4 linked regions of the Drosophila melanogaster genome follow. The main gene of each other region encodes a partner of the protein of the gene in region 3 in a complex. Each region holds a gene or a part of one and is shown on either strand. Other genes may lie near its edges.

Evidence for each region.
Region 1: MED23 (region 3) and MED1 share a complex: the UniProt entries of both Drosophila melanogaster proteins name them as parts of the mediator complex.
Region 2: MED23 (region 3) and MED8 share a complex: the UniProt entries of both Drosophila melanogaster proteins name them as parts of the mediator complex.
Region 4: MED23 (region 3) and MED4 share a complex: the UniProt entries of both Drosophila melanogaster proteins name them as parts of the mediator complex.

The regions. Positions count from the first base shown.
Region 1 is NT_037436.4:21,627,557-21,637,870, reverse strand, and holds MED1 (mediator complex subunit 1), read left to right. Parts: upstream 1-3,424; 5' UTR 3,425-3,575; coding exon 3,576-3,609; intron 3,610-3,674; coding exon 3,675-4,955; intron 4,956-5,031; coding exon 5,032-6,938; coding exon of another isoform or gene 6,939-6,959; exon of another isoform or gene 6,960-7,750; intron 7,751-7,957; coding exon 7,958-9,163; 3' UTR 9,164-9,546; downstream 9,547-10,314. Other genes in the region: CG32444 (uncharacterized protein), read right to left, coding at 559-885; ORMDL (orosomucoid 1-like), read right to left, coding at 1,749-1,884, 2,102-2,253, 2,310-2,486; Alg11 (ALG11, alpha-1,2-mannosyltransferase), read right to left, coding at 9,597-9,678, 9,736-10,314. UniProt on the Drosophila melanogaster protein: Component of the Mediator complex, a coactivator involved in the regulated transcription of nearly all RNA polymerase II-dependent genes.
Region 2 is NT_033778.4:20,323,972-20,329,667, reverse strand, and holds MED8 (mediator complex subunit 8), read left to right. Parts: upstream 1-2,861; 5' UTR 2,862-2,945; coding exon 2,946-3,704; 3' UTR 3,705-3,824; downstream 3,825-5,696. Other genes in the region: CG8929 (uncharacterized protein), read right to left, coding at 38-404, 471-562, 647-1,341, 1,534-1,609; tapas, read right to left, coding at 3,855-4,072, 4,131-4,279, 4,338-4,489, 4,547-4,820, 5,257-5,375, 5,444-5,696. UniProt on the Drosophila melanogaster protein: Component of the Mediator complex, a coactivator involved in the regulated transcription of nearly all RNA polymerase II-dependent genes.
Region 3 is NT_033778.4:22,885,866-22,896,350, forward strand, and holds MED23 (mediator complex subunit 23), read left to right. Parts: upstream 1-3,062; 5' UTR 3,063-3,148; coding exon 3,149-3,187; intron 3,188-3,249; coding exon 3,250-3,343; intron 3,344-3,397; coding exon 3,398-4,362; intron 4,363-4,420; coding exon 4,421-4,507; intron 4,508-4,562; coding exon 4,563-4,765; intron 4,766-4,817; coding exon 4,818-5,194; intron 5,195-5,254; coding exon 5,255-5,429; intron 5,430-5,485; coding exon 5,486-5,974; intron 5,975-6,032; coding exon 6,033-6,359; intron 6,360-6,418; coding exon 6,419-6,642; intron 6,643-6,700; coding exon 6,701-6,783; intron 6,784-6,839; coding exon 6,840-6,987; intron 6,988-7,056; coding exon 7,057-7,714; intron 7,715-7,775; coding exon 7,776-7,916; intron 7,917-7,974; coding exon 7,975-8,284; 3' UTR 8,285-8,560; downstream 8,561-10,485. Other genes in the region: YME1L (YME1 like ATPase), read right to left, coding at 51-77; asrij, read left to right, coding at 778-837, 894-1,383, 1,442-1,668; Gmer (GDP-4-keto-6-deoxy-D-mannose 3,5-epimerase/4-reductase), read right to left, coding at 1,761-1,928, 1,985-2,542, 2,601-2,715, 2,770-2,894; CG3700 (uncharacterized protein), read left to right, coding at 8,600-8,852, 8,918-9,131, 9,195-9,810. UniProt on the Drosophila melanogaster protein: Component of the Mediator complex, a coactivator involved in the regulated transcription of nearly all RNA polymerase II-dependent genes.
Region 4 is NT_037436.4:7,247,591-7,253,347, forward strand, and holds MED4 (mediator complex subunit 4), read right to left. Parts: upstream 2,938-5,757; 5' UTR 2,855-2,937; coding exon 2,618-2,854; intron 2,560-2,617; coding exon 2,020-2,559; 3' UTR 1,939-2,019; downstream 1-1,938. Other genes in the region: Cdc27 (cell division cycle 27), read right to left, coding at 1-844, 914-989, 1,068-1,091; CG14830 (uncharacterized protein), read right to left, coding at 3,509-4,028, 4,090-4,518, 4,586-4,608. UniProt on the Drosophila melanogaster protein: Component of the Mediator complex, a coactivator involved in the regulated transcription of nearly all RNA polymerase II-dependent genes.

The sequences.
Region 1 (10,314 bases), on a different chromosome or scaffold from region 3:
CCTAGCGCGAGGTCTAATCCAGCTCAGCAGCCGTTCCCGTCTCCGGCGAAAGGACCTACCAACCCAGCGAATAAATTATTAGGGCCGTTTAAACATAGAACAGTTGGAAAAATAATACAACTGTTCAAAAAATACTTGTTATAGTTAAGATTTTTAAACTTATTGTTAGTTCTTATACAAGAAGATTCAATAAATAAAAGCAAAGTAAAAAAAAAAAAAAAAAATAAGAATGATTGTGTCGCCGAGTACGCTGAGCACAGCCGATATCGGGTCTTTTTTCATCTGAGACAAACTTGAATATATGTATTTGTATTCGTCACTATAATATGCATGCCTTATCTCAACTAATAAACCAGGTCGACTTGGCAAGTGACCTTGATTGCAAATCCACTTATAGGGTCGGAATCGCTTTCCTCTACCTGATACTTTACAACAAGTACAAGTACAACAAGTATACCAATCAAAAAACTTCTAACACTAAGTTCTCTTGCCAAAACAAGTGTCAAAAATCCTCATCTCAAATAGTATTCAAAAATCGGTCACTTGTGAAATATTTACCTGGATATTTTTTGTCACCGAGACTTTCGTGTCGTTAAACGTATACTCGCCATTGGCCACCCGGTTGGCCACTCGTCCGAGGGTCCCACCGATGTAGGCTCCCTTGTTGGCCAAGTAACTGGCGATGTCGTCGAAGCCGAGGCACACATCATCCACCTTCTTGTAGGCGTCCGGCAAGCAGACGCTCTGGATGATGGCCCCCAGTTGGATCACTGACACGGTCATGCCCTTGGAGTTCTTAAGCGTGTACCGGCGCACCATTTCGGGCGACTTGGTGAACGGATTCACGGCCAAGCCGAAGATTTCCTCCTCTAGGGTAATCGACATCTCGGCGCGTCTCGGTGTCGTTCCTTCCCCTTGAAACGGCTGACAGCAACTGCCTGGGTATCAGGCATACTCCGATCCGGCACACCTCTGTTATTATGAATTGCCAAAGTCGTTCGGGTCGCGAGCTTCTCCCTCAAAGTCAAACCGGGCAATCAGCTTGTCAGAAGTCGATTGCCCATCCCCCGCATTTTACCGCCCACAATAATGAGAGATAAGCTGTCCTGTAATCGCCACTTGACTGGAATTTAGAATAGTTTTTCAGGGGCGCGACTTTCTCGAGAGCTCATAAAACAGAAAAAGCTTTTTGTTTGTTGTTGTTTGCTTGTTTGCGGCGAGTGTTTGCATTGTATCTGTATAGTATGTCTATAATCATTTTTCGCCACTTAAGTTGATAGCAGTACTTTTGTATGTTGTATGATTATATTTAAGAATATTTAACAGAAAAAATCAGTTAACGGGTTTTTCTTTCATGTTTTCAATCTTTCGGCTTATATATGTACTATACTTACGCACCCCACTCACTGTGCTTTTCGTCACTACGAAGACTTCTGTGTACAGCGATTGATCAAGTTTAATCCTTTGGGCTAAAGAACTACATCATGGTTCTACTTAATCGTCTGACATAATGGGTTATAAAATATCTCATGTGCTGGCCCCCAAATACATCTTTTAGATGATTTGTAGTTTCCATGATCAATAATTATTTATGCAATAAAAATCGAAACGCGATTTTTAGAATTATTTAATTTGATAAATATTTTATTTAGCAATATTTACATTTTTGAGCAAGAGCTGTGCCATCAATATAAGTTTGTATGTACATTTTCATTAAACAAAATAAATGCGGCCCGTTCTCACAGGAGCTAGTACTTGTTAATGTTGAACAGCCGCACGCCGTGGAACTGCGGCAGCTTGGGAAGCGTGACGACCACCAGGGATATAAAGTTTGGGATAAAGTGTTCCGTGTTGTTTCGGGTGTACAGACAGGTAAGTAGGAAACTATAAAAAAATCAATTATTTCATGAGTTTCTATGTTAGGCATTATATGGTAGCAATTACATTACTAGTTCAATTAAACTGCAGTACATAAAAAGTATTTATTGAAATACTTTGATCAACATTAAAACAAGTTTAGAATTTAAGTCTTCATTTAGTTTTAATTTTTTTAAATAAAAACCCACCTATATTGGCCGACTTTCAGTACGTATTCACTTACAGAACAATGGGAACAGCTGTGAGGAACTTGCGCGTTGTGGTCATCTGTACCCCGTCATCGATCTGTTCCCAGTGCGTCCAACGCCGGCTGGGATCGTTCTCCGTGCTCAGCCAGGGAGCGCCCTTGATGACGTGCAGAAAGTACAGGTGGGCCTGGCAAGAGGGATTAGGATAAGGACTGACTCCTCAACGGCGCCATGAGCACTCACTGCATTGTGAAGCAGGTTGGTAGCCGTCCAGGCCCATGGAATGCTAACGAAGGGCACTGATAAGAAGAGCAGGTGCACCGACAGCAGGCCCAGGAGGTATGCTAGCCAAAATCCCCGGGCACTCAGCCAGGAGCTGTTTGGATTCGCCTCGCCGTGGCCTCCCGCAATGGACGTCATGTGGCTGAATTGTTAACCTTTGGTTCCGAAACACTTTAATAACAAATATTTATCATTTACGCTCAATGTGACCGCGCATGCATACAAATATCGCTCTGCACTTTGATGATAATAAATATACCAAAATAATTTAGAGAAAACAGAAATTTGAAATACTTTAAATGTTTAATAAAATTTGAATTTAAGCTTTTGCAATTTTCTATGAAATATAACATCTACCTTTAGTAAAGGTTATGACTACTTTTGATTTGTCGGACCAAACCTATATTCAATATAATCCGTATATCTGTCGTAGTTTAGGTAAGTACGAGGAAGAGAGGAACGCTTAAGACTTATCATGAATTTAGCGAAATAAAATTTGTTTAAGTCGTAAGCTGTATTTGTTTACTTATTTGATTAGTCCTTAAAGTTTTTTTTAGCTGATATTTATTTTTATAGGATTATAGTTTCTTTCAAATCTCAAGAAACTTTAAATAATCATTTTCGGTTTCTTGGAACAGAAACCCCAAATTAAACTTTATGCCAATAAGACATTTAGAAATCATTGGAAATTTTAAATAAATATTAAATCATCGGTATTAAATTATGAGGCCTGTAATTTATTTTTTAACGAAAGAATGTTTGAGCTTTTCTGTTCATTACAATACCCTTGTAGCTTAAGAGAAAATTCGAGTAGGAAATGAGGCACAATTACATCATAAAAAATAGAATGTAAAAGTACCAGAAGGATGTATAGAATATAGATGTTAATTGCTTCATTATATTTACCCCTCATACTAAAAAATATAACATACATAATTGAACAGGCAATTGATACAAGCTTTGAATCAGAATACATCGAATATCAAATGACGCAGTGGAAATATCATAGTTCCGTTTTATATTCCAGTATTTTATTATAGCGTGACCAGCCACTGTGAAGGATCAGCCATTTTGTTGTTTTGGCGTTGAAATTTTTTTGCCATGATGAAGGCATAGAAAAAAGGTTCTGAGCTATTTAGATCGAGAACTTTTTCATTTGCCGCAATTCTTTGTCAAAAATGCCACAGCATCATTAAGTAAATACAGTTTACTTAGGAACGCATAGATATGAGCGGATCCAATGCAAAGTCCTCGGGGACTGGTAAGTACTAATATATACCCCCATAACTAAGATGTCCGGAGCACCACTGACACAAATCTGCACAGGCTTCGGCAGCCACATTCCCAGCATCGAGGAAAAGAACAAGCAGATCCAGCAGGAAACCATGATGGAGAAGCTGCGGGCCAAGTACCGGAACAAGCCAAAGAGCTACGAGGAGATCAAGAAGTCGGTGCGTATGTACTTTATCGAGAAGCACTACCCTCTGGACCCCCTGTGCAAGGCCACGCTGCAGTCGGCGCTGGACAAGTTGCAGCACTACATCAAGGTCACGTCACGCCACGGCCTTGTGGAGCGTTTGGAGAGCCTCTCGCGCCAGTTGGGCCTCAAGTTCATGGAGGACCAGCAGCTTCTCTTCATATCAACGGACATGTTCTACGTAGAGATCCTGCTGGACGCCGCCGGCAGTCTGTCGGACGTCAAGGTGCACCACGAGTGCAAGATCGAGCAACAGTCCAGCGAGCTAGTGGCCTGCCTCAAGTCTGGCGACTTTGCAGACTTTACGGTTCAACTCGAGGGTCTGTCCTCCATTTACCAGCTGAATGCCGAGCCCAAGGTGAAAAAGAAGGCGTTTGTAGCGCTTCAGGCCATGGAGACGGATATCCAGAGCCTATACCAACTGCACCTGCAAGGTCACTCCGGAGACAGCTACTCACTTATGACAAGTTCATCGGTGGGTCTTGTGCTGCCCCGTCGCGGTGGCCATCCTATGAGGCTTACTTATTTCTGCCCGCCGCTCCACCTTCCCGAAGGGGATCCCAAACTGGCCAGCGGCGATTTCACCATCGACCAGGTAATGCGAAGCAGCTACGGACTGAGTGCCACTATCAATCTCGAAGGCTCATCAGCCAACAAACTGCAGACTTTGCCAACGGTGACTTTGGTCCGCGATGCCCAAACGGGGTTGGAGGTTCCCACCTATGCCCAACTTAACCAGAACAACTCGCTGCTGATGCCGGCCACGTTTGTGCTTCGGCTGAACAAACCCATGCCTGTTTGCCTGGAATCACTAAAGGCTCTCGGTCTGCCCGGTCTAGACTCAGTTGCCACTCCTCCTGGTCCGCCCACCACAGTGCTTAATCTCATAGTACAAACTGCATCGAAGCAGGCCATTAAGAACACACAGCGCGGCCTGTATGTGAATTTACCTAAAGAGACGCACTGCTATTTCTTTACCGACAACCGCAAACTGCAGGGAACTCTGGTGTCATCACTGCCCTTCACTGAACCCGCCCAGGTTCCGCGAATCGTGGCGTTCCTCAAGAAACAAGCTCTCTTCTACACCCTGCTCGCAAGCTGTGTTCGTGAGCAGCAGAAGCAGTATAATGGTGAGTTGGGTGCTCCACTTCCCCCCACATTCCTGTTTTATGATAATAATATTTTTTTTATGCTCATTCGTCCCAGATATGGACAGCACTGTGATACTGGAGGTAACCGCCGTTTCATTTAATCAAATCACGGTTGAGCTGCAGCACCCGTACGAAGAGTCGCTGGCCACTGTGGATTTTCTGCTTGAGGATGGTCAGCCCACGTGCAGCGTTTACTGTCTGACCAACGAATACGAGCTGCTGTCCCAGAAGTTAACCCGCACCGCGCGCAAAGTGGTATCCATTCCGATGGTAATCTACAAGTTGCTTAAGTGCTGGGATGAGGAGCACGAATTCAAACTGCATGGCGCGATTGGACCTGGATCTGGTTCTGGAGCAATCGGAGGTGGAGGCATGAGTGGTGGTGGACCTGTCTCAGGAGTAGGCAATAACTTTAGCCAGTTTTCAATGGATACGCCGACGCCTTCCGATGGAAGCCTACCCGGAGGTGGCTTCGCCAACATTAACAACCTTAAAATGGATGCGAAGTCGCGATCTCTAGCGGATGCTTTTGCCGCTTCTACTTCGGCAGCAGCGGCCATAGCGGGTTTGATCAATCTTAAGCGGGAAACCGATCCACAGTCTGGTAGTTCGGCCAGTGGCACCACGGTCAGCGGCAGCTCCAGCTCATCCGGCTCCGCCAAGACGAGTGACCATGACATTGCTGACAAGTACAAAAATATCTGGAAGGACAAGACTCCAAATTTGAAGCATTGCGTCAGCATCACCCCCATCCCAGGAGATGGAAAGTCTGGATCAGCTGGGGGAGTGTCCGGGGTCGAGGTACAGCGAACGGGTGGTATCGAAATTATTCCATTGAATGCCCAGGCGGCTATAGCCGGAGGAGGTGTTACAGCCTCATCCAGTGCCACTCCCACGACTATAACTATTACCCCAATAACTGGCAAGGATCCCAGTAAGGACTCAACCAAAAAAAGTACCGCTGCTTCAGCTGGAGTAGGTGTGGCCGCAAAGCGTCCCCACGAAAGTAGCACAAGTAGTTCGTCTACGTCCGGTTGTAGTGGTTCTGGCAGCTCCATGTCGTCTTCAGCCAGCAGCGGCTCTTCAGATACGCAGAAGGAAAAGAAGCGCAAGAAAAAGCGCGACGATTCGCCCATGGGACCGCCGGAGAAGATCTATTCTAGGCAAAACTCGCCTGCAGGTGGCGCAGATGCTTCCGCAACTGGTGGAGTGGTTCGCAAGTTTTCCTCTCCCTCGTCGTCACCCAAAGCTGGTGGCGGTGGACAGGGTCTAATGGCCGGAGTGCCGACTGCCCGTCCCAGCCCCAAGCACTCTCCCGTGTATAGCAGTCCCAAGCACAACACCGCCTCCAACAGCCCGAAGTCGCCGTTTGGCACACACTCACCCAAACACGGCTCTTCCGGAAAGCCGAGCATGTCAACGCTTAAAAGTGCAGCTACAGCTGCCACCATCTTAAGTCCCAAGGGCGATAAGTCCTCGTCAGCTGTGGGTAACACATCTTCGGGACCATCCGCCTCCTCAGGATCCAGCGGAGCTACTGGCCTGGTGAGGTCATTTGCCAGCGTTGGAGCTCCGCCTCCACCACCTCCAATTCCTCCATTAGCGAGCTCGAGCGGATCTATCAGCAGCAGCCAGAGTTTAAAGAAGGAGAAAACCTCTTCGGCATCCGGTTCCAGTTCCACATCATCCTCGGCAACTGCAGGTGTCGCATCTGGCGGAGGTATTTCACCGGCAAGTGTGGCTGCTGCAGTAGCTGCCCTGAAATCCTCACAACAGCAGATGAAGTCAGTCGCCAGTCTTTCGCATCTGGCGGCGGGCGGGGGACTGGGTAGCTATGCGGCCCCGTCGGGAGCGGGAGCATCTGGTGCAGCCGCAGTGGTGGTGGGAGCAGGAGCTGGCGCTGGAGCGGGGGCCTCCGGACTGGAGCTGAGTGCCCTGCGCAAGGGCATGGCGGGAGGTGCGGTAAGTCCGTTTTCATTATAAGTGCTCCACTCCACACCACACCAACCCACCCCCAGCATCTCCCACTGGAAGCCTAACACGTAGTTGACTCTCTGCCACCTCTCCTAACCAATGCAGAATCAAACTCAGAGCGAACCTATCTTTAAACTAATGCAAATGCTGTATTTACTTTAGCTATAAAACGATTTGTAATTTGCCTACCTCTGCTGTAGTTGAAAATGATTATATTTAGTACTATGATTATTATTTTTGTTAGTGTTTCGTTTTGCCTTTTCTAATTTTTGTAAATACATATGATTCAATTATTTGTCATATATACTGCTGCATCCGTTTTATTTTCGACCAAACCCAAAACTCGTATGGTAATGGGGCTTATCCCCAAAACACCAGCTTAAACCTCTTTTTCTGCATTGAGAACGTATGTTTTTATTATTAGTTAATCTGTTTGATTTGTATAGTTGTTTGGCCAGCATGTGGCATGTAGAAAACCATGGCGTACTGGTTCACCAAGTTTATAGTGTCTACAGTATTGCTGGATTTATAAGAATGTGTATGCATATGACTTTTAAGCTTTGTTAAGAACATCAGTAAATAATGTGTAAATTAGTAGTGCTTGGCATCTTGACTCTACGAGTATTATAATTTGATTGTTTCCCCTTTTCTAGATTTAGTTACAAGAGTTCCTTCTCACTTAAATATTTACTACGTTTAAAATTAGTGTTTAATGTGCTTATGATGTACACTTTGAAAGTAGCTCCACAAGCGTTTGCCTCATACATTTTCTCCTCAAAAATATATTTCGTATCCGACTTAACTATAAAGCTAATTATTAACGGGGTCCATTCTTCTTTCTTCCTGTTTGTATTCCCTTCCTACACTACCAATGGTTGTGAAATCCCACAATTTTTTCTTTTGCTACACGTGATGTTCCCCTTTTTGATTGTTATAATTTCTTTTCTGGTTTATTTTTGGTTTCTTTGGTCCCTAACACACACACAACCACATGCTTACTTTGTCAGGTTAGTTTGATGACGTCGACGGCAGCTTTAGCGCCAACAATTCCGGCACCAACAACAACAGTGGCAGCGGGCTCGGCAGCGTCATTGGTGTCTCCAGTCTCAGCGGTAGTGGGTCAGGGGCAGGAAACAGCGGGAGCAGCGGCAGCAGCAACGCTGGCAACAGCAACAATTCTGCAGCAGCAGCCACAGCCGGGAGCAGCGCCAACTAGTAGCTGCTTAACCACCAGCGGGGGCAGCAGCGACTCCGCCGGGAGCATCAATCCGGCCGGAGCCTCCACGGAATACATGGTGAAGCCCAGCAGCCAAGAGGGCCTCAAGCTGACCATCAACAAGACGGGAAGCAGCAAGAGCTCCGGCACCGGCTCCGGCTCTAGTTCCTCCTCTGGCCTCCAAGCGAAGGCAAAGAGCAGCAGCAGCGGCGCCACGAGCTTCGCTGGGTCCACTGGATCCACGAAGAAGCAGCATACCGGACTCAAGCCGGGCGTTAACAGCGGACCCGCTTCCAAGAAGGCCACCGCAGCGGTCTCGTCCGCCACGGCATCATCCAGCAAGCATTTCTTCCAGAAGGCAAACTCCTCGGGCAATCTCAGCAGCAAGCTCAGTGGGTCGGGATCAGGTGGCGGAATTCCGCTGACTAAGAGCAACAGCACTAACTCCTTCCAAGAGCACAATGCCCCCAGGCGGCGTCCCAGCATGGGAGCCTTGGCTAGCGGCAGCAGTGGAGGAGGCAGCGGGCAGCGAAAGTTAGGCTCCGCTTCGGGAGGAGGCAGCGGATCTTCGGGGTCGGTATCGCCGGCCCTTAGCGGCTCAATGTCGCAGCCACCGCCGCGATTCGATCACCACACGGATATGATGACCATCCTCCAATACGCTTCTCCGACAATGGCCGCAAGCATGGAAGGCTTCATCAAGGGGCTCCACAACAAATTCCAGATCCCAAAGTTATCGCAGAGAGGAAGCGGAGGCAATACAACCAGTGGACGCAGCACGCCAAGTGGCAGTTCAGAACCGGCTTTAGCGGGAACATCATCTTCGATATTAGGACCTATTGCCAGCTCTACTGGACTGACGGAGCCGGAAGCGAAGCCGCCGGTGCCTCCTTCGCAGTCTGGCAATGAAGGACTGCTCAATCTTAGCAGCACGGCGGGTACACCATCGGCGGATGGGATAGATGAGGAGCTTTTGGCTAGCCTGGCTGGCGAATGACAGAAGAAAGACAGCCGTCATGAGATATTCCTGTTGCTCTATGCGATTTTCTCTTAAAGCTAGCATAGTGAGTTAGTTTAAAGCCATTAGTTACACGATTTTGTTTTATGATGCATAGAAACTAAGGATCTTATTAGGCAATTTCTTAACTTTATTGGCAGAAAAATGATTTAAAACTCCAAAGGAAATAAATAAAATTTTACAACACGATGGCGAATTTGGTACAAAATCTCAGAGATTATTCCCGATTCTGTTAAGTCGATCAAACCGAAATCACCTTATGCTTTAAAAATGCATTAGGTAAATCTTAAGGAAAGCGATGCGATATGTACGATAAAATCGCTCTAAATATGTTGTAGAGTATAATAAATGTATTCAGTTGGAGATTTTTGGGCTTTGCATATTTATTTAGGTGCGGGCGTACTATTATTTTTTAATTGTTGGTAAATAGCGTTGAAACAGCTCGAAGAAAGTTTTTTTCAAACTCTTGCTCAGAAAACCGTTCCACGGAGGCCCTAAAAGCGAACCAAAATATATTAAAGTGTGCAAACTGTAAATGTTTATCTAGTTACCTGGCTGCGTTTCGAATGCCGTTCATTTCTGAGTTGTTAACAATAATATTTAATATGTTTTCTGCGTATTCAACGGCGTCAGTAGCCAGGAATCCGTTCTGACTTCCCGCGGAAGTTTCGACAATGTCAAGCAAAGGACCCCCTGACTTGTGGGCCACCATTATAAGGCCAGCAGCCATGGACTCGACGATGCCGATGCCAAAATGTTCGTTCCACATAGTGTGAATGCCAATGTGGGCAGTTTGATACAACTTAAGAAGGTCTTCGTAAGGGACATTCACACTAAATTGCACATTGTTTTCTAGCGACAGATGCTTTGTCAGGTCCTGCATGTTTTTCAACCGCTCGTAGTCATCTTCATTTCGGCAGGAGCCCACAATAACCAACTTAATTTGGTTCCAAAGGGCCTCGTCTTGGGCCAAGAGAGTTCGGAGCTCGTATATGGCTTGCAGCTGGAGGGGATGGTCTTTCTCCGGGCGGAACTGTCCGACAGACAGTATGATGAATTCGTCGCCTTTTTCCGTGTGCTGAAGGCTCTTTAGGTGACTAACCTCGCACGGAGGGTAAACCCGGTGTGTT
Region 2 (5,696 bases), 2.6 Mb from region 3:
AAATTTATTTTGACTCTTAGCTTCGGACAATGCTTACCTCCTTTTCCTTCTTCTTCTTTTTTGCCTGTGTTGTAGGTGCTGCAGCTGGCGCTGACGCCGGCTCTGGTGGCTCTGGCGGGCGGTGCTTAAGACGCGGATCTTCCGGCGGAGGCGAATGGCGCGAGGACCGCGCGATCTTCATGTGGGTGTCCGACGAGGCGACACGTTCATGCCCGATGTGACGCATCTTCGCCTGGCGATACTTCTCCATGGCGGAAACCGAACTGCCTCCACCTCCGCGCACGGGCGGTGGAGTGGTGGGGCGACCATGGATACGGCCATGTGATTCCGACGGAGGGGGCGGAGGCGCCCCCGAACGATAATGGCCACGTGGCTTGGGTGGCGGCGAGCGCGGACCGCGGGATCTTTAAGATGGAAAAAAAAAAGTTTAATAGGAACAAAGAAAACACATTTCATATATCAATACTTACCGAGATCTGTGACGATGACTGGGTGAGCAGAGGGAGCAGGAATCATCGGAGCTGGTGCTCATAGAGCTGTTTGATCGCGAACGCATCGAGTGCTGCAAAGGGACACGGATATATGTATAAATGGTATGGTTCTCACTGACAGAATAATATGTATCACTATCTGGTTGAAAACTCACCCTCGGTGGTGGCGATGGCGGTCGCTTGGAGCGCGGCAGGATATGGGCGACTGGACCTCGCTTCTCCATTGCCGACGACGAGGGCGGAGGAAGCGGTGGAGACCGGCGACGTCCGAGCGGAGAACGCGACGCGTTTGGCTTGCGTCGCAACGACGAGGACGACGAGCCACCACTGGGTTCCGGCGGTGATCGGGGCCTTCCGCCGTGGCCGTTTCCGGGTCGACGCATGAGGGCATCGTGGCTATTGTTGGGCGATCGTGGCATTGGCGGCGAGCGAGGTCCACCACGGCGATCCATGCCACTGTGCATAGCCATGGGCGGTGAACGACGACGCGGAGGTGGTGAAAGCGGTGGCGATTTGCGCAAACGCGACCGACTGCGTGAGTGCGGCGAACGAGAGCGTCCGTAACGCTGCGACGGAGGCGGTGGACCTGGCGGCGGTCCACCTGTGGGCGGATAACGACCGTAGGGCGGTGCTCCACCCTCACGACCTTCGCGACCGTCGCGTTCGCTCTCTCCAGAGCTGCTCTCCCCCTGGATGTACATCTTCTTGTAGCCCGTGTGGCGCCATCGGTTTGGATCCTTCTCCTCTGCCTCGATCAGCTTCTTGTCCCAATAATCGTTGGTGGTGTTGGCGCGCGCCTTCTTCATCACGTTGTCGATCTCGCGTCGCTTTCCAGCGGGTAATGAGGGATCTGCAAGGTTGAGAGGTAAAAGGTAAGCTTCGATTGGCAGGGTGGTGGGCGGTGCTTTGTTCCGGGAAGCCCCTAAGACGGGCTGATGGGTTTATGGGCCCTTAGACATCGCTAATCCCGGCGAGGTAATTGGGTTTTCCCACTTCTATGCAGTTGCTTGCTGGTAGTTGGTAGAAGTTTCAGTTCAGGTACCTGTTATGCGGGCAGCTGTCGGCTGCCTGTCCATGTGCAGTTTTGGATTCAGTTCGGCGCGCCTGCGCGACGCCATCGCGAGATTTCGGATTTCTATCGCTTTGGCAACTATGTATATGTATATATATCGCGCGACAGATATATGTATGTATGTACTCGGGTTTCAATGTTTATTACCCCCAATCGGTTAGGGTTTGGTTTACTGTTTCGGATTCGGTTTGGCGAACGCGACAACACACTTTACCATTTCAAAAACATACACAACAAGCTGCAAATATATTACAATTGAATATAGAAACATGTAAAGAGAGCATTAGAAATGGCTAACACAAAGCAACAACAATATCAGGAGCGGAGTTATACAGAATGGGAATAGAGCGGAGAGACCTGAAAACGCAGAGAGAATCGCGGACGCGCTCCGGCTGTCATTTAACCCATATCACGCCGCGGGGGTCGGGGACCTGTGGTCCCAATCAAAATCGTGCGAGAGAGCCGATTTTTAATCGGCTTGCGCGTATATCTTTTCACATATGCATTTTGAATTTCTTCCATTTTTCACACATACACTCACACCAGCACCAATATATTTGCCTTGTCAGCACGAGAGGAATGCAGAGCGAGACAGAGAGAGAGTGTGAGGCAAAAGTTGGCGATACTCCCGACGGCAGCAACTAAATTTCGAATTTCAGCTCTGGCAATTATGTAAACGATGTAAAACAGGCACTAAAATAATTTGCTTACATTTGGCGACGTTTGCGGGCACGCTTTACGATATTTCGTGAGCTGTTAACGTTTTATTGGCAAATGAAAAACACGGCGTTGCGTTCACTTCAATTTTTCTCGACGGCCATGTTGGTAGTATCGATATGCCGGGGCACAATCGATGGCTTGGCTTCAATAGTCTAAGGACTGTTCAGAGTCTGATGAACTCGAGTCAGTTTATATATTTTAATAATAAATATTGTGTTATTTCAAGAGGCGCTCGTAGTTGAAAACACTATTCGTTTTGGGAATGTTTTATATATTAGACTATTTAAATCATATCATATTGTTTTGACATTATTTTAAGTATGCATTAACGATTCTGCTAATTATTGCAAAAATAAAAGTTATTAGTTCTATTTAAATTAAAACAGAAACAAATAATAACGATCAATTATTAGTTATTGGTGAGCATTAATTCATTTTTTATTGTTCAGTTTCCTTAATTGACCATATGATTTTAATTTTAGGATCTGAATGTAGTGTGGACGCCAGTTTGCTGCTATCGCAAACGTTATCGATAGTACGGTGTTGCAGTATTTTATTACACCCGACTAACAAATGATAATAAGCAGATCCACGGTCACACTTTCCACTTTGTGTCCATCCGACTGAAGTTAAAAATAATAGTTTAATTGGGAGTTTCCAAAATGCAGCGCGACGAAAAGCTTTTTGAGCTGACGCTGGATACGGTCCTTCAGCGTCTGAACGACCTGAAGCTGGCGGTTCTCTCGATGATCCAAAAACTTGAGCTAGAGTACGAGACCATCAACTGGCCGACTTTCCTGGACAACTTTGCCATTATCTCAAGTCACTTGACGGGATTGACGAAAATCTTGGCAAAGGAGCAGTGTCCGCCGCTAAGAAATCGAACGGTCCTGCCCCTTCTGGTCTCCATGGACCGGGATGACACCCTCATCAACATCACAGAGGGTCGGGTGCCAGTCTTTTCACACGACATTGTTCCAGACTATTTGAGAACTCGGCCGGATCCGATTACGGAACAGAAAATGCTGCAGAACGAACAGAAGGCGGCGAACCTCACCAACGACGCTGCCATGAAACAGGTCACTCAATACAACAAGGTCGTCTCCCACGTCCTGGATATGGTCAGCAAAGCGCGCGAGGAGTGGGAAATCGAGAGCTCTTCGCGCACCGGCATCCAGCAGACGAGTAGCATGGCCGACACACAGCTCCTGGTGGCCGCCGTGGGTATGGGAAAAGGACTCAAGCTGACCAACTATGGACCCGGACCTGGCATGATGGTACCGCCTTCAATTCGAGCACCCTCGCCAATGGGTGGACCCGCTATGAGTCCCGGCAACGTGCAGCAGCAGCTGGGAAAGGCGCCATCGGCTGTGAAAACAAACATCAAGTCCGCAAATCAAGTGCATCCGTTCTCTCGATAAAAAACATCAGTTTATTAGCTATTATCGGTTCCATCTGGCGGAATGTTTCGTCGTAATAAGTTATATGTATATTCCTAATTCTAAAACTAGGATTACGCAAACATAAACATGAACAAATTTAAATGGATCGTCTCCTCCGACTCAGACTTCTTATGTTGCTGGCTGTGCGTGCTTCTCATTGATGAGAATCTCGTGCAGCTTAATATCTTTCGGCGTGGAGGTGTCCACCAGCTCCAGGCACAGCGCTCGTCCGCCATCCTTTTGTTTAGTCATTCGCCGCACAATGCCAATAAACTTCTGACCCAGCGACAGTTCCCGGAATCGGACGCAGTTCTCCTTGCTCCATACTACATCAGTCAGTTGTATGCCTGAAAGAAGATCGTTTTTAGTTCTAACGCCAAACTGCTGAAGTTCTCTTGAACTTGCCATAAAGTTGTGCTGGCAATGCCATCTTGGGCAGCTTTCTTAACTCCGGATTTAGAGTTTTCAGTTGATCACAGGCAATTACTCCATCGTCGCCCACGTCGACGAAACGCACGTGTATAATCTCATCGTAAATCTTGTGAATACTTACGCTGCAAGATTAACAGATTTAGTCTGCGTTTTTATTGCAAGACCTGAATAAGTTCTTACCGATGATATACGCCTTCGGAGTCAGGGGCAGCGTAGGCCTCTCCAATGGCCAGTTGTGAAGGCTGCACTCCCTTGGCTGCCGTCTTTTGGCAATGCTCTTGTAAATTCTTCATCAAAGTCTGCAGCTGGTTATAGTATTTGTACGGTTGCACCTGCGGAAGAATCGCACATCATAATCGGAGTCATTAATTTGCTGATGATTGACTTACCGCAAAGTGACCGGGATTGACGGAGAGGGCAACGCGCACCTCGAAATAGGCACCCACTGCCGGAATAGCCTCGTAATCCTTGAGCATGAGAGACGAAAAGGTGCTGCCGGTCGATCTTGCGGATGGTTTCTTCTCTGGCGTCACCGGGGGAGTGGTAGCGACAAGGTCGCTGCTGCTGCTCTGATTCGAGAACACGGAGCTGAAGCTACCGCGTCTGGGCAGCTGGACATTGGAGCTCAGGAGCGTATGATCATACTTCTCCGGATGAATGGAGCTGTGTGGGTGGGGAATCAAGGGTGGGGCGGGAACAAGCCAGATTGGGGGATTGGGAGGCAATTGTTGGTTTCAAGGTTTAAAAAATCTGATTGCTTTCGGGCTTATTGGGTAGTAAAGTACATATGTGTGGCAGCTTAAGAGTATATTTTTCAGATTATATACAAAGATGTGCATGATTTTAGGGTAAGCTTACAAAACGTAGATCGAATTTGTGTTAGCAATAACATATCAAGTCAGTTCCGGTTTATTGAAGCACTTATAGAGATAGCATTAAGCAAAGGATCAATTATATTGTTAATATAAACTTATAGGGCACCAGTCACAATTCAGATGTCGTTGTTTAGGGAGCTTGATGACGATGTGATTAGATGACATTGACCATAATGATATAGAATGAATAGACATTGTACAAAAGCTTCAATAAAGGCACTTACCTAGCCATCTCGAGCTCCAGGCGAAGGCCAATGTTCACGCACATATACATGGACTCCGGATCCTCGCGGATGAATACGTTTACCAGAGGCTTACCACCATCCATGGCCACAACCTTCAGCTGCGGGAGAAAATGGTGTTACGGATTCGACAAGCTTTCAAAACATCCCTTTCATATAAAACACTTACGAGAGCTTCGGTGCGCCAAGGTATCAGACCACGCAGGCGATGAAGCATATGACCTCCGATCTCTGGAACGTCGTGCAGGCGAACGGGTATCGCCTGTGGCGGGAACGTAGCCAGAGCTCTGTTGTTTGCCTCCAGGCGGTAGATATTAGAGATGTGCGCCTTACGCTGCCGTCCATCGTCCACGTAGTAGACATCGAAGGACTCTTCGTCCGGATTCAGTGGTCTGGTGACCAGTCGCCCGCGGAACCACTGC
Region 3 (10,485 bases):
TGGAGCAGTCAGGTGGGCGAATGAATGTATTGTCATCGGGCAGCACTTACCACGGAGTGTGTGGTGGTGGAAAACATTGCCAAAACTACAAATTTCAATAAATTACAAGGGCAGGCTCAGGATCGCGGCCAGCAGACGACACAGCTGTAACTTTACTTGACAGCGAAAATGTCATAATCTCGTCGCGTCGTGCGCGTTGCATCCCTGGTTCTGGTGGTGCGCGACTTTCCACCTCTTATCAAAGCACGCGTTCTCCAATTACTGGCAATTTTCAAAAGTGTATTCGTTTGTCGACTGGTGGTTTTGATTTTATTCGATTTTTAATTTGGTTTATATATCTAAACTGCCTCTCCGTACAGTCAACGCTGCTGATAGTGTTGCTAAACTTACATAAATATATAAAATTTTGTATAAATAAAATGAATGATAATCAGCGCAAACTTTGCATTCTATAAAATGTGATTTGTTTACTACTAAGATCAAATGAAAGTCTATTCCAAATTTTACTTATATTGACAACAAATTCCATTGTATCAACTGTAAATGAATGTTGTCTTTGTTATTTAGTTTTAACTTCTTAAAGAAAAAGGTTTTTAACCAGTTTAGGATAGACAAAGAGTCCCTATCGCAACCATCGTGCATAGATCGACCATCACTAGTTCTGGAGATGTGCAGAAGTCACTGGCCCGTTTCGCCGGCGACCAGGGTTGGCAAATCGGCTGCGCCGGTAGTTGGTCCGTTATACATTTCACAAATTCCACATTAAATTGTATCAGCATGGACTCCCCGCTGAACGATGGCTCTCACCATCCACCGCCGCACGCTCCCCACCCCCTGGTGAGTGCTCTACGGTCCTTAAACTGCCACTACCCAAACGTTTGCATCTATTTCAGGCGGACTATCAGTTTTCTGCGGAGGAGGTGAAGGCGTTACGTGAGTGCAACACTGAGTCTTTCTTCCAGCGCAGCCTGCCTTTCGGCACTGGACTGGGCCTGCTGGCCTACTTCGGCGTCAAGAACGGCTATTTGCAGGGACACGTCAAGTACGGCGCCGTGCCCAAGGTCGTGATGGGCGTCATTCTGGGCTACTTTGTGGGCAAGTTCAGTTACCAGCAGAAGTGTGCCGAGAAGATCATGCGCCTACCCAACTCCCATCTGGGCGAGCTGCTGCGTCAGCGTAGACAGGGCGGCGGTGTCATCAGCTCCATCACACCGGACGAGAATCTGGGCAGGGCCTTCACTCTGGCCCCCTTCTCGCCGAGCTCGGCGGACGTGTACAGCGATGAGGCGTATCAGCCCGGGAGGAGCACTTCTCTCAATCTGGACACGGAATCGCGCCCTACTTTGTCCGGCCTTGACGACATCTACCGCCCCACCCTGGACTGTAAGCTCATCTAATTCTTCGCATTCCCTATTATGATTCTGTACATTCTCCTTCCCAGCAGCTGGTTCAATGCTGGAGGCAGAGTTGCCCTTGGAGCCGTCTAAGCCGGGCCAGTCTTACGAGGACCTGCGACGAAGGAACCGAGAAGAGTATTCGAAGCACCAGCAGAGTCCATACTCGCGACCTTACGAACCACCAGTTGCCGTTCAACAGCGACCCGTGGAGCAGGCACAAAGTGAACCCGCTGGAAGGAAGAACCAATACGGCGACTCCTGGACTGATTAAGGTATTGTTATTTTGTTGGACATTAAACGCGCATAAAGTTCTGTGAAAATTCGTTGTCTATTTACATTTTTTTTTGGGGTTGGAATATTCAATTACTTTCTAGCCTGGTCGTAGTTTTCTATGTACCACTTAACCGAGGCGTTGATTGCCGTTTCCAAGTCCGTAAATGCGTAGTCTGGCAGGAAGGAGCGAAGCTTGGCATTAGACGCAGTCTTTTTGTACTGTCCATCCGACTTGCTCGTATCACAGACCAGTCTTCCCTGGAATAAATCAAGTTAATATCTTGCCTTGTCTCAAATTTCGCTTTTTAACCCACATTAAAATTAAATGCTTTTGCAACGGCTTGGGCCACCTCGAAGATCGTCACCTCCTGCACTTCGTCCGCGCTTAGGATGATGGGCTCCACACTTTCGTAGTTCCTGAGCACCCAGATCATCAGCTCCGCCAGGTCCCGGGAGTATACAAACTGCCGTAGTGGCATGCCGCTTCCGAAAACGGTGAACACCTTGTCGTTTTCGGGGACGTCAGTCTTCTCCGTAACCAGCTGGTGCATCCTATAGATCATGCCCGGAATAACGTGGCTGACCTCTGGATTATAGTTGTCGTGGGGACCGAATATGTTGCACGGAATGACCGAGGTGTACACCCGGCCATATTTATCGTGGTAGGCGTGGTTCTGCACGTCTATCAGTCGCTTTGCGTAGGAGTAACCATAATTGGAGGGGTGCGGCGGCCCATTGTGCACCATGGTCTCATCTATGGGGTAGCTGGTTTTGTCCGGAAAAATGCATGTGGACAGGCAGGACACCACCTTCACGCATCCCTGCTCGTGTGCCGTTTGCAGGACATTGTCGTTAATGAGCAGGTTGTTGCGCTAAAAGTGGATTCGCATGAAATGGGTTTTGGAATCATCTGTGAGACCAGGAGCTCACCAAGAAGTCCAGGTTGTTGTTCATGTTGTGGAACAGGCCTCCGACCATTGCAGCCAGATGGATGACATGCGTGGGCTTCTCTCGGGCGAAGAGTGCCTGCGTGGCGGCCAGATTTCTGTGGAGAGAATTTGTTTACGGATACGTTCAATTGAATTTCTTCATGACTTACGTCAAATCTGCATCTTTAGAGCCCGCAAAAAACCATTGCTCGTCCTCTGGGGACTGCTCCTTGATCACAGCCTCCAGGGCCTTGCCCACCAGCCCAGTTCCGCCTGTAACCAGAACTTTCTTCATGATTTTTGTGCGATTCCACAAATCAAGTCAATTAGTTTCTAAAGTAATTTTCGACTCAATGCGACCAGCTGCTTTAAATGCCGGCTAATCAGTCAGTGCTGCCTGCCTGGCGTTTTTAATCTAATCCTTTAGCTATTTCTTGTTATCAGAAAAAGCCACTTTTAGATTCTTTACTAAGCCCCATTTGGTCACACTGTGCCCAGGTAGTTTTTGTTTATGCGGTGTCGGATATGCGAAAAATAATTTAAATGGATATGGAAACGCAAGTTATAGACACCGTTAACGAGTTTCTGGTAATAGTGAAACCCTGCGTCTCCAAAAAATCACCCACTCATCCACGCTCTCCATTTCGCAGAAGGTCGACTCCCTTGACGAGGCGTTCGTTAGCGTCATTGTATTCAAGCCAAACACCGAGCAAGAACGAGCTACCCGCTTCGCCAATGATTTGGGTAGGTAAATGCGTCTGCTGGAACTCGAAAATTGTTAAAAACTATCTGTTTCAGTTACCGCCTTTGGGAACGTGGCGCAGGAGAACCGGGAGCAGGTGCTTCGGCTCTACCTGTTGCGTGCCGCCGGTGCCTCCGGATATCACATCAAAGTGCTGATGGCGGCACTGGTGAAGCTGGTGGACGCACACGTGATCACCGCCAGGATGCTGTGCGACAAGGTGCTGATGTGCGAGAAACTGGACTTCGAGCACAGGACCTTCTGGATCGAGAGCTTCCGGCTGATCAAGCGTGTGATCGTCCAGGTGGACTACAAGGGTGTGCGCGAGATCATGAAGGTATGCCGCGACAAGGCACAATGGTTTCCGCTGAACGTCAACGTTACCTACATGCCACAGCTACTGGCCGTTGAGGATATCCTGCGATTCATCTTTGATCGCAACAATTGCCTGCTGCCCGCCTACTTTATTGCCAACGAGATTATGCGTCCGTTTCCTTACCACTGGAAACTCAACCGGCTGATGACCGACTTTGTCGAAGAGTTCCGCACCACGGCACAAATGGTTTCGATCATTGGACATGCCAGCATGCTTCCCATCGTAGAGCATTTCGGCTATGCCGATCACATGATGAACTCCTGGCGACTGGACCACAATACCCTGAAGTTTAACTTTAAGGGTAGCCTGCCCTACGAGCCAGAGCTGCTCGAAGAGCAGAAGCCCCTACTCCGCTACGTTTTGGAGCAGCCGTACTCAAGGGAAATGGTCTCTCAAATGCTGAACCTGCAAAAGCATCAGAAGCAGCGCTACAATGCCCTGGAAGAGCAGTTGGTTAATCTCATAGTGCAGGCCATGGAGATGACGGAGGCGAATGATGCCACTGCGGGAAGTGGCTTTAACTCCTCAGACGAGCAGATCACGCCCTACGAGTGGATGTGGCTGCATCTCTCTTCGCAACTAATTTACTTTGTGCTCTTTCAGTTCGTAAGCTTTATGCACATAGTGTTGGCGCTCCACGAAAAGGTAGGTCCATGGTGGATGAAATTAATATTTCTTGTAATTAACTACTTTTCACCTATAGCTTTCCAAGTTGGAGCTTCGCAAGGGTCGCGATCAACTTATGTGGATTCTGTTGCAGTTTATATCCGGAAGCATACAGAAAAATCCTGTAAGATCCTGTTCTCCACCTGATTGATCTTATTTTTAATCGCTTTTAATTTTAGATCACCAATTTCCTGCCTGTGTTCAGATTGTTTGACCTACTATATCCCGAGCTAGAGCCTCTTAAGCTGCCAGATATCAATAAATCCTCGATGGTTCGCCATATGGCACCCATTTGCGTTTGGATTCACCTGATGAAGAAGGCACGAGTGGAAAACATGAACATCACCAGACCATTGCCAATTGCACTGAAAAACCACTACGAGTAATACCTCTAACTTCCTTTGGTGTTTAGATACTAACTGCTTAATTCCCAGCTTTCTGCAGCACCTAGTCACGGCTAACACCATGATGAACATGACGCTAGGAAACGACTTCCGCATAATTCTCATCTGCAATGCATACTCAACGAATCAGGAGTACTTCGGGCGTCCCATGGGTCTACTGCTGGATGCCCTAAATGGCACTTCAAAATCTCCAAACGGTGGCCAAATCCCAGCCGTAACTTTTTCGGTCACGGTTCTGGACAGCTTGACGGTGCACAGTAAGATGTCGTTAATCCACAGCTTCGTAACTCAGATGTTAAAACAGGCCCAAAGCAAGGGTCAAGTTCCAGCGGCTGCACTACTGGAAACTTATGCCAGACTTCTGGTTTATACAGAAATCGAGTCGCTCGGTATAAAGGGATTCCTGAGTAAGTACAGCCTGTTGAAGTGATTAAACAATATGTTTATGGTTTTTTTTCCTCCTAAAGGCCAACTGATGCCAACAGTGTTTAAGAACCATGCGTGGGCCATGCTGCACACCTTAATGGAGATGTTTTCGTACCGGCTGCACCATGTTCCTACTCACTACCGGGTCCAATTGCTGTCTCTCCTTCATTCTCTGTCCTCCGTGCCGCAGACAAACAAGATGCAGCTCAATCTCTGGTTAGTTATACGTTTATCGAGTATAGACTTCTTTCTAAGTTCTTCCCTTTGTATAGTTTTGAATCTACTGCACTGCGTCTGATCACCAGCATTGGATCCGCCGAGTTTCAGCCGCAGTTTTCGCGTTACTTTAACGACAAATCTCCCGGAGCAGTGGCGTCTAATGAGAGCGAAGAGCTAAACAGAGTACTTATTCTTACGCTAGCTCGATCCATGCACGTACATGGTGGCGGCGATGAAATGCAGGGATGGTGCAAGGACTTCCTTTCCAACATCATTCAGCACACGCCGCACTCGTGGCCCATGCATTCCCTAGCCTGCTTTCCGCCCGCCTTAAACGAGTACTTTACGCAGAACAACCAACCTCCGGAGAACAAGCAGCAGTTGAAGAAGGCCGTGGAAGAGGAATATCGAACCTGGACGTCGATGACCAACGAGAATGACATAATTGCGCACTTCTTGCGTCCAACTACGAATCCTTTATTCCTTTGCCTTCTGTTCAAAATAATTTGGGAGACGGAGAACATAAGCCCAGTGGCTTACAAGTGCGTAACATTATGATTTAAACACAATCATTTTTTCTGACCATACCTTTTTTTTTAGAATTTTGGAGGGTATAAGCGCGAGAGCCTTGTCCACTCATCTGCGTAAATTTTGTGACTACTTGGTGGCTGAGGTAGCTAGCTCATCGGATGGCCGCGACTTTATTCACAAGTGCGTCGACACCATTAACAACATGATTTGGAAGTTCAACGTTGTGACCATCGATAGGGTTGTGCTTTGCCTGGCTCTGCGAACGCACGAGGGTAACGAGGCTCAAGTCTGCTTTCTCATAATTCAGCTGCTCTTGCTGAAAGCCAGCGAGCTGAGAAATCGTGTTCAGGAGTTCTGCAAGGACAATAATCCTGATCACTGGAAGCAGAGCAACTGGTAAGTTGGACACTTGATTTTGTTAAGAGCACAAAGGCATAGTTGTTATTATTTCTCAGGCAGGACAAACACTTGTCATTCCATCAAAAGTATCCAGAGAAGTTCGCGTTGGACGAGTCAGCTTCACAGATTCCGCTGCCCGTGTACTTCAGCAATGTCTGTCTGCGATTCCTTCCCGTTCTGGATGTGGTAGTGCACAGATTTATCGAACTTACCATTACAAATGTCCACCAGATATTGGGCTTCATTTTGGATCATCTGAGCATACTCTACAAGTTTCACGGTATGTTAAAAGTGGCTTTCGAGAATTTCATAACTTTAAATTACCCTTTAAATTGCAGATCGACCTATAACATATCTGTACAACACCCTCCATTATTATGAGCGAATCTTACGAGACCGCCCTGCGCTAAAGAAGAAACTTGTAAGATTTGTTATGAATATTATATTCCCTTCTTCTAATACACTGTGTTGTTCCAGGTTGGCGCTATCACCAGCGCCTTTAGCGAGATTCGGCCGCCCAACTGGAGTGTTAGTGAGCCGTACAAGGTGTATTTGCAAAGCCAAGACTCGCTGTGGACCCCCGAATTGAGCTACTATATGAGTTTGATCAGGAGACTTGCAGACAGTAAGCTAGGATTTGGGAAAATACTATGATGTGTTCATATATTCATGCGTAACCCCTTTTATTTTGCAGCAATTAGTGGGAAGAATGTATTTTACTCCACCGATTGGCGTTTTAACGAGTTCCCGAATGCGCCAACCCATGCGCTCTATGTGACATGCGTGGAGCTGCTGGGTCTGCCGGTGGCACCGCCACTGGTGGCCAGCAATCTCATCGATGTTATAGTAAGCGGATATGCGGTTATTCCGCAAAAGGACATTCACAGCTACATTAATGCTGTGGGCATTGTTCTGGCTGCCTTGCCTGAGCCCTACTGGAGCGGCATATACGATCGCCTACAGGATATGCTCAACACACCCAATATGCTGAACTGGACCTACAGATTCAATGCTTTCGAGTTGTTTAACTTCAAGACAGTGCGTGAGGCGATGCTAGAAAAGACCTACGCCGTGGTGTTGGCAGTAGCTCACTCAGTGTTCCATCACATGGGCGCCTTTAAGCTGGCGGCAATGACCAGGTACCTCAAGGAGAAGCTAAAGCCGTGCGTGCGAACCGAACAACAATTGCTGTATTTGTGCCACGTTTTTGGCCCCTTCCTGCAACGAATAGAGTTGGAAAAACCGAACGCTGTGGCTGGCATAGCCGTGTTGCTTTACGAAATTCTTGAGATCGTGGACAAGCATCATGGTCCGAAGCCTCTGCAGTACATGGACCAGATCTGCGATTTCCTGTAAGCAAATCCACAAAATCGCATGAAAGGGTACTAAACAAATGTGTTTGTATCATTTCAGCTATCACATTAAGTATATACATGTGGGTAATATCATTAAGAACGAATCGGAAGCCATCATTAAGCGGCTACGGCCCCTGCTGCAAATGCGCCTGAGGTTCATAACCCACCTTAACTTGGAGGATATTCACACTGAAAAGATGTAAGGGCCATTTAATTCAAACTCTACTTCGGTTTAAACATAACTTTTCCAATTTCAGCAACGACAATACCAGCAATAATGCAATAACCAGCCAAACGCAGTCTCCAATGCAAACACAGCATCAGCAGCAGCCGCAGCAACCACATCAGCAACAACAGCAGCAACAACAACAGCAACAGCAGCAGCAGCAGCAGCAACAGCAGCAACAACAGATGCAGCAGCAACAAATCAACGCAGTACAAACAACCAGCGTTCCCTTGGGCAGCGGTGGCAACCTACAGCAGCAGCAGCAAATCAACCAGCAGCAACAAATGTATATGCAGCACATGCAGCAGCATCAGCACATGCAAAACATGCGCCACAATTAGACTTTGTGGGACTCCCAAGTCAGTTCAAGCTGACATAACGACATAAGCCTAATTTATAGTAGTATTATCTTATATTTTATCGCTTATTGCATTATTCATTTTCCATTGAATGTGTAAACAGTTCTCAGATATGTTTAAGTTAGATACTAAGGGAACTTTTTGTAAGTCACAGCTGTCGGCCCAAGTCCTCCCTCCAGCTTTACAATCAAAAGCTTGACTTAATAAGCCCAGCTTAAAGCTCTTCGTAGATAACCTGTAGTTGGTGATCTTGTCCACCTCGAGCGCCGTTCTCAGTTGTGATCGCAGAGCACTGCGATGTATGCGCTTCCGGGAATCCAGATTCTGTTGCTGATTGCTTCAGTCAGCGTGGTGACCGAGTACTGCGACAATGGAACGGGCGAGTGCAAGGAGCTGACGCCCTCCGACTGTCCAGTGATATTCTACAACCAGCACCTGATCGGAGCCGAAGTCAAGTACTGCGACGAGTTCAACGACATTGTCTGCTGTCCCATACCGCTGGATCACCAGAATCTGAAGCCAGCCGAACAGACGAGGCCTTTTGAGAAGCGTGAGGAGTGACTGCAACAATTCCCTTCGATTGATGGAATTTGAATATTCGTTTTTTTTTTTTAGAGTGCAAGCAATACAACGAGGTCAGATCCGCCTGCCAGTCCACGCCCTTCATCGTGGGCGGCACAAAGGCATCCGGTAAAGAGTTTCCCTTCATGGCCCTAATCGGCACTCATCGGCCCAACAAGTCCAAGTCGGACATCAATTGGGATTGTGGTGGATCCGTGGTGCATCCCAAATTCGTACTGACTGCGGCGCATTGCCTGGAGACGGATGAGTAAGTATTCTCTGGGATTCTCTTGAGTGATACTCCTTCCATATGTGTACTTTTAATTGTCAGATCGAAGGCCGAGCGACTGGACCCAAACTTTGATTCGCCCAAATTTGTAGTTCGCCTGGGGGAGCTGGACTACAACAGCACCACCGATGATGCTCTGGTTCAGGACTTTCGGGTGGTCAACTATGTGGTGCACCCTGGATATGATACTGAAGACGAAGAGCAGGGCTTTAAAAACGATATTGCCCTGGTGGAACTGGATCGGAAGGCTGAGTTCAACGACCATGTGGCAGCGGTATGCCTTCCGCCAGACAGCGGCAACGATGTTCAGCAGGTCACAGCCGCCGGCTGGGGATTTACCGCGGACGGTGTGAAGTCCTCGCACCTGCTGAAGGTCAACCTCCAGCGATTCAGTGACGAGGTGTGCCAGAAGCGCCTGCGTTTCAGCATCGATACACGCACCCAGTTCTGTGCCGGCTCAATGTCCAGCCAAGCGGACACCTGCAACGGTGACTCCGGCGGACCTATATTCGTCCAGCATCCGCTCTATCCGTGCCTGAAGCAGGTCATAGGGATTGTCTCATATGGATTAGTTTGTGGCTCCCAAGGACTCCCGAGTGTCTATACCAAAGTCCACCTCTACACCGACTGGATCGAGAGCATCGTGTGGGGCAATTGACAGTTAGGAGTCGTAATATAACAAAAAAAGGATAGTTTAAAAAATAAAAATATTTCAAATAAATCAAATTACCTTGAAATGTTTATGATTTCAAAGCATATCAGCGACGTTGGGGCCCTGAAACCTCGGCGTTGCCAGATCCGGAGAGAAATTATCGCAGAGCAGAGTAAACAAAATGTATGATTTTAAATTTGAAGCAGTCTTGTTTTTCTTTAATTTTTTTTAGGTAAATTTTCGAAATTGCTCTTCTAAGCCAAAGCCTATATTCCAATTGCAAGGCTATTTTATAATTTTGCCTAATGACCAATAATGTAGCATAATTTATTTATAATAAAATCCAAAACAAGATCATATCAACAATAAAAATACCAGATTCAATCATTATTTAATTTAATATGATCCAAAATGTAAAAAGTCAAAATCAACAAAAAAAAATACCATTCAGGTGAGAGCGCTGAGCTCGGCTCACCTGCAATCCGCTCCCATCCGATCCAATCGTCAGTTTCGATCGAGACGCACTGGAGTGCGGACGTGTGGTGCGCTTGAGTCTGCGATTTCCTGCTGCGCTTTGCGGTGTCGTCGCATTTTTCGTGCCTTCCGGAGCGTGGATCCCCTGCATTTTTGTGGTCGTTGTGCAAGTGCGCGGCAGTCACGTACAGCCGTTGCAACAAAATA
Region 4 (5,757 bases), on a different chromosome or scaffold from region 3:
ATGGCCGATAGGTATTTGAACTGTTTGCGAAACGGAGTACCGCTGCTCATGTCGTAGAGCTGCTGGTTCTGCTGATACTGGCCGGCCGGGTCCTGCGGAGCTCCCATAGGTGTGTCCTCCAGCATCGCCAGCATGCTGGAGTTTTGTACCAAACCCCCGCGCAGCATGCTGATCGAACTATTGAGATTGTTGTTATTATTATTATTGTTGATGGGCGTCACCATGTTGCTGTTGTGGTGCTGGTTCTGATTCTGGTTGATCTGTTGTTGCTGCTGATCCACGGGCGTGGTCAGAATGTAGTTGGAGACATTGCTTAGGTTGGTGATCAGCGACTGGCGCTCCTGATGCTGTTGACCCTGCTGCTCGGCTCCGAACAGCACCATTGCATTGGCATTTACGCTGCTGCCCTGGCAGGTATTGAACACATCTGTGCTGTGGATTTGGAATATGGCCGCCGCATCTGTATCCTGGCCCAGCAGGCACAGATCCGCGAATGCGTGCCACATGAAGGGGTTCAGTTTGAGGGCGCGCCTTAAAGCACTAACGGCCAGTTTATTGCGCTCGGTCCTCATGCAGATCTGGGCCATTAGCTGATAGGCGAAGCAGGCCAGATCCCCGAAGTCCCGCTGCAGCTCATCGCAGTTCTTGGCGTCCGCGAATCCCGTGGAGATCAGGGCACTCTCCGCCTCAGCGTATTTTTTCAGCTCGTAGGCACATTTGGCCTGCAGAAAGCGGCACTGCGGCGAGCGGCGTGCCTTCTCCTTGAGCAGCCAATATGCCTGGTGCACCTGATTGGAGCGGAAGTAGCTGGTGGCCAGCAGGAATATCGTCTCGTCGCTCTCCACTGCAAGGACACGGTGAAAGAGAAAATCAGTGATATACCCGGTCAGACAAACGAGACCTTGACCTATACCTTCTGAGCACAGGCGTTCCGACAGGAAAACGGCATCCTTGAAGTCGTAGTAGTTCAGGCAATGCCATATGGCGGCCTTTGGGAGCGAAAAAAAAGAAGGGAGAAAATTTGGTTTTTTATAGAGGCCAGGTGGACCGAGGAGCTATTGATTTACCTGCACGGGCTCTTGAATCATCATGTCTGGGCGGTATGTGCGACTTTCTAGGGGCGCTCTATGAGATGTACGTTCACTGTACTTCAGGGCTTTACAATAATTCAAACATGCAGTGTGTAGAACTCAAACAAACTATCATGTCGCCCCCCACTCGTACACTCTTCTGTTTGTATTTGTATTCGAATTGTTTTCTTTTGGCCAAATTTTTTCCAACAATATCGAATGGGAAAAAGTAAAAGTTTGGCCTGTGTGCTGGCTGGCTGTGTGGTATGTGAGTGTCGTATGTAACCCGATTGCGGATGCGGCGATGCAAGTGGCGATGGCGGTGTCTCTCGCTCCCTGGCCTCCACTCCACTCCACCTTCCACTTCCACTTTTTCTTTATATTTGATATTGCAATTGGTTTGAGTCGAGCCTTCGCTTCGCTTCGCCCTCTGTACACACACACTGCGAACGGGGGGTCGGTTTTCTACTATCGTTTTCGGGGCTTATCTCTCGTTAAAGACGCACACGGGGCTGATCTGCGATTGGCGGCGACACTGGACTACACCTTGGCCACATTTTAGCTACTTGAAACACGCTGCATACGCGTTGCATTCCATTTTATTTGAAAAACCAAAGCTAAAATAATTGCGAGCTGTCAAAGTATCGATTGCACGCGACCCTGCCAATCGATTGTTTATATGGTTGAGGAGGACCGTATCGCACTAGCGCAAAAGTACCAAGCTCTTGACACGAAGCTATTATAAGCTGTTTCCACTGATACATAACTTTGCATTTTTTTAAATGCCAATTTAAATTGTAAATTAATATCATTAAAGAAGGTCATAAAATTAGATATGTATCCCAGCTACTCAAATATATACATAACTAGACTTCCTTACAGCGCGCTTTTATTAAATACCTAATACTACTAGCTTAAACGAGATTTAGTTATAGTTTTTTATCCAATTCTACTGCGAATCGCTGGAACTGGAGCTTGAGCTATCCGTGGACATGACCTCCACATCGTCCTGGGCGCGCGTCTCCAGGGCCACTGTGTTCCCAGAGGCGCCCATGGTCATGTGCAGCTCTCCGAGATTCCAGTTAAACTGGTTCTGGAAGGCATTGGGCACCTCGCCGCCGGCGCCACTGCCACTCCCACTTCCTGCGCTACCGGACAGCGTTCGCTGCTGCTCCGAGGGCATGCCGCTGTTCTGGTGGGTCACTGTTCCGCCGTTGATGTTCTGCTCGGATTTACCCAGCAGCCCGTTGCGCATCTCAATGTCCGTGGGATAGGGACGCCGCAGGTCACCTATGCACCAGGTGAGCGGAGCACTGACCGCATTGGCGGAGCTAATCCGATGTGCGTATTTGATGAGCTCCTCGGATGAAACCGGTCGTTTGTTGGCCTGATTGATGCTGGCCAGTTTCTGTCGCGCTTGGAAGATGGCCGTGGACAGTATGAGCTCCGCATCCTTTAGCGACTTTTGCAGCTTCTGGATCTCACGGTCCTAAGCGGGAAAATCCAGATTATACCTTATTTTTGGGGAATGCAAAACTTCTACTTACGTGCACCTCGACCTTAGCGCGCAGTTGGTCCATCGCCTCCTCCACTTTCGCCTGCTCCTCCGCCAGTTCCAGCATTTTGCGAAATTCCTCATCTTTGGCCACCAGCAAATCCAACAGGTCCACCAATTCGGTGCTGGAGATCTTCTGGTGCGCCTGCTCGATCAACTCCTTGGCAATCATCTCAATGTCGTCGATCAGGAGCAGAAGGCGCTCTTTTGTGCTCAAATGAAACGACATTATCACGGCAAATCGTTTGTGCTAAGCAATAATTGCAATTTGTTTATTTTCCACACCGCAATGTGGCCGTTCTTCGATTGCTGAAATATACCGTATAGTATTCCGGAGCGCTGTTAATACCACGTTGTAAAAATACCGTAACAGAGAGGTTGCCAGACTAATAGGAGTTGCCACATGGGTTATTTCATACACTCAAAAAAAAGGGAATCAAGTACTCAAAAGCAAAGAGTAGAAGAGACTGTTCAAAAATAAAACAAATTCGCAGCGTTATCTCTAGTAGGTATTATTTGCTTGTTTATTTCTCGTGTGTTACAATTGCAGTTACAATTTTAGCATAAAACTCTTCTGTTGATTAGCCAAATCAAACCTAACAAACCTTCTCAAATATGGCAGATTACAATACTCTGTTGCATCCTCGCGTTCGCGTCTCCCGTCAGTTTCACTCTTAAAACATACAAACCAGCAAGCAACTTGCAGCAGGTACGTTGGAGGGGCCTTGTTAATAACCGTTTAGAACTAGTAGATAGTCTTACAATTAGTTAAGATATAAGTGGTTTATATGTGGCTATTCATATTTCTTCTCCGCCCAAAGGATCCCCTTTCATCAAACCGCATATGTATGTACATACATACATATGTACATATGCATAACAATCAGTATCGCTGGCTCTCGCGATCCGAGTATTTGCCACTCAGCTTGCTAACCGAATAGCGATCCGAGTAGGCATCGTACTTGTCCGCCTTGTAGTTGATCTCCTGCGGCGTGTATCCGATATTCTTCTGCCAGTGCCGCGTCCAGTAGAGATCCTCGTTGCGCACCTGCGATGGCGTCTTCGCATCCCGGAACACGTACACACAGTAGATCATGCAGCCGATTAGCGTGAGGAAGCCGAAGACCAGGAACACAATTCCCAGTATCCACACGTACAGTGGCTCATAGAACTGCACCACAATGACGAATCCTAGCGTCACCAGGATCAGGCCCAAGTTGAGCAACAGCATCAGACAGCACACGCCCTTGACATTGGGGCAAAATGGATTCGGCGCGGACATGGTTTCCACTTTGGCGCCTCGCCGAGTCGTCGAGCGCGCACTGCGTCCGGTTTTGGCCGTACTGGCCACGGAGTAAACACTCCGTGGAGCTCCTCGCGACACTGGACGCTGACTGTAGCGACTGTAATGGATGATAGATAGTTTAGATATGGGTTATATGCTATATAGTTGTAACAACGCACCTGATCTCGGAGGGCGCCTTGTAGGCGGCACTGGTCACATAGATGTCGCTGCCGGCGTCACCAGCCTGGTCATAGCTCAGGGCGGACGGAGCACGCGGTGGCTGGCGCGTGGGCGGCGGTCCGCTGAGGGAGCGAGGTCCTCCGTTGTCCGGCGAACTGGAGAGGCCCATCTGACTGTGGCTGTAGCTGCTCTGCAGGTGCTGATGCTGATGGTTTCCATTCGAGGATGAGGAGCGCTTCTTGCGCGAACCATTGTACTGCGGCGAGATGCGCTCGTGGGTCAACGTGTACTCCGAATAGGTGCGCTCCGAGGGCGCCCGGTGGGAGTGGGTCTCATCGCCGTCGGTGGAATAGCCGCGGTTCGAGTGGACGTAGGGCGGATCCGGAGTGAGGCGACCGTGCGTGGCCACATAATGGCTGCCCTTCAACCTGTAATTGGATCGCAAATGTTATCGCCGCTGTATTAGCCGTTAAGTGGCCCATCCGCGCTACTCACTTCTTCACTTGTCTCTCGTGCATCCTGTATCTTTTGCTCCGCCTGTATCTGTATCTTTTGCTGGCTCTTCTCTGCGGCTGATTGACTGCTAATGGACCCGTCTAGCAATTCCTCGAGGTGCCTGCAATGGGTAAGTAAAGCAAAACAAACACACGATGAGCTCGACTTCATGGCAATTAGGTTTTGGCTTCACTTTATCGACTAGCTTAGAACTTTTAATTAGAGCGATGAAAGTTTTATTCGACTGCAGACAGCAGCCATATTCAATAAAATAACTGGTTTGTTTGAATTTCACAAGCGTAACGTAAAGTTTCATGGCTCTGGGTTCTCTGCTCGTTGTAAAAGTTTAATAGTTAATATTTATTAAAATTACACATAAACTCGAGAGCAACATCTGGATCATTAAAAATTTTAAGCAACTCCAGAGAAAATGTTTTTTAATTGAAAATAATGCGATACCCTGCTAATATTAAACACGCGACAAAGGATCATAAAGAAGGAGGTATTTCGATAAGCTGGCCGTCCATGGAGTAGATTCTCTGCATCCATGAATTCCATTTTGCAATCAAAACAGACCTTAAACTTCCCTTACGCCTTGCATAACTTATATCAATTTATGGTTCCCGAGCGGAGGACACACCCAGCTTAATGATTGGAATGGCAGTTCGTTGCACTTTTCCGTTAAATTCGCCCCCATATCCCATACCAATGCCAACCATCCTGGCCACCAGGAACACCGCAGGCACTCAGCCAAGTTGGAGAAATTCGTTCGTTCGTTCTTTCAAGTTCATGGCAGAGAAATTGAAGTTGCCCGTCCTTCGCATTCGCCATTCGCCGGCAATTTGTCACTTGGTCACGTAGTGCTCGGTTCTGGGTGCGTCACTCCAATCCAAGCCAACCCGACCCAACCGAACCGAGGTGACAGTTGTTAAAAGGGAGCGCCAGCGGGTTAAGGGCAAACTGGTTACATCGGCCGCAAACTTAATCTCTGCCCGATGTTACCATGCATTTGTTTACGCACCCCAGTTGCTCATAAATCAGCATTTCTATCACACTCGTATATGTCAATCAACAGGTAAGATAGTTTAGCAAAACAAAGGTTTTACTATGTTTAGGTACCTGATTTTCCTCTGTGCATCATTAACCCCTTGCCAACTATGAGTTCTACTTAT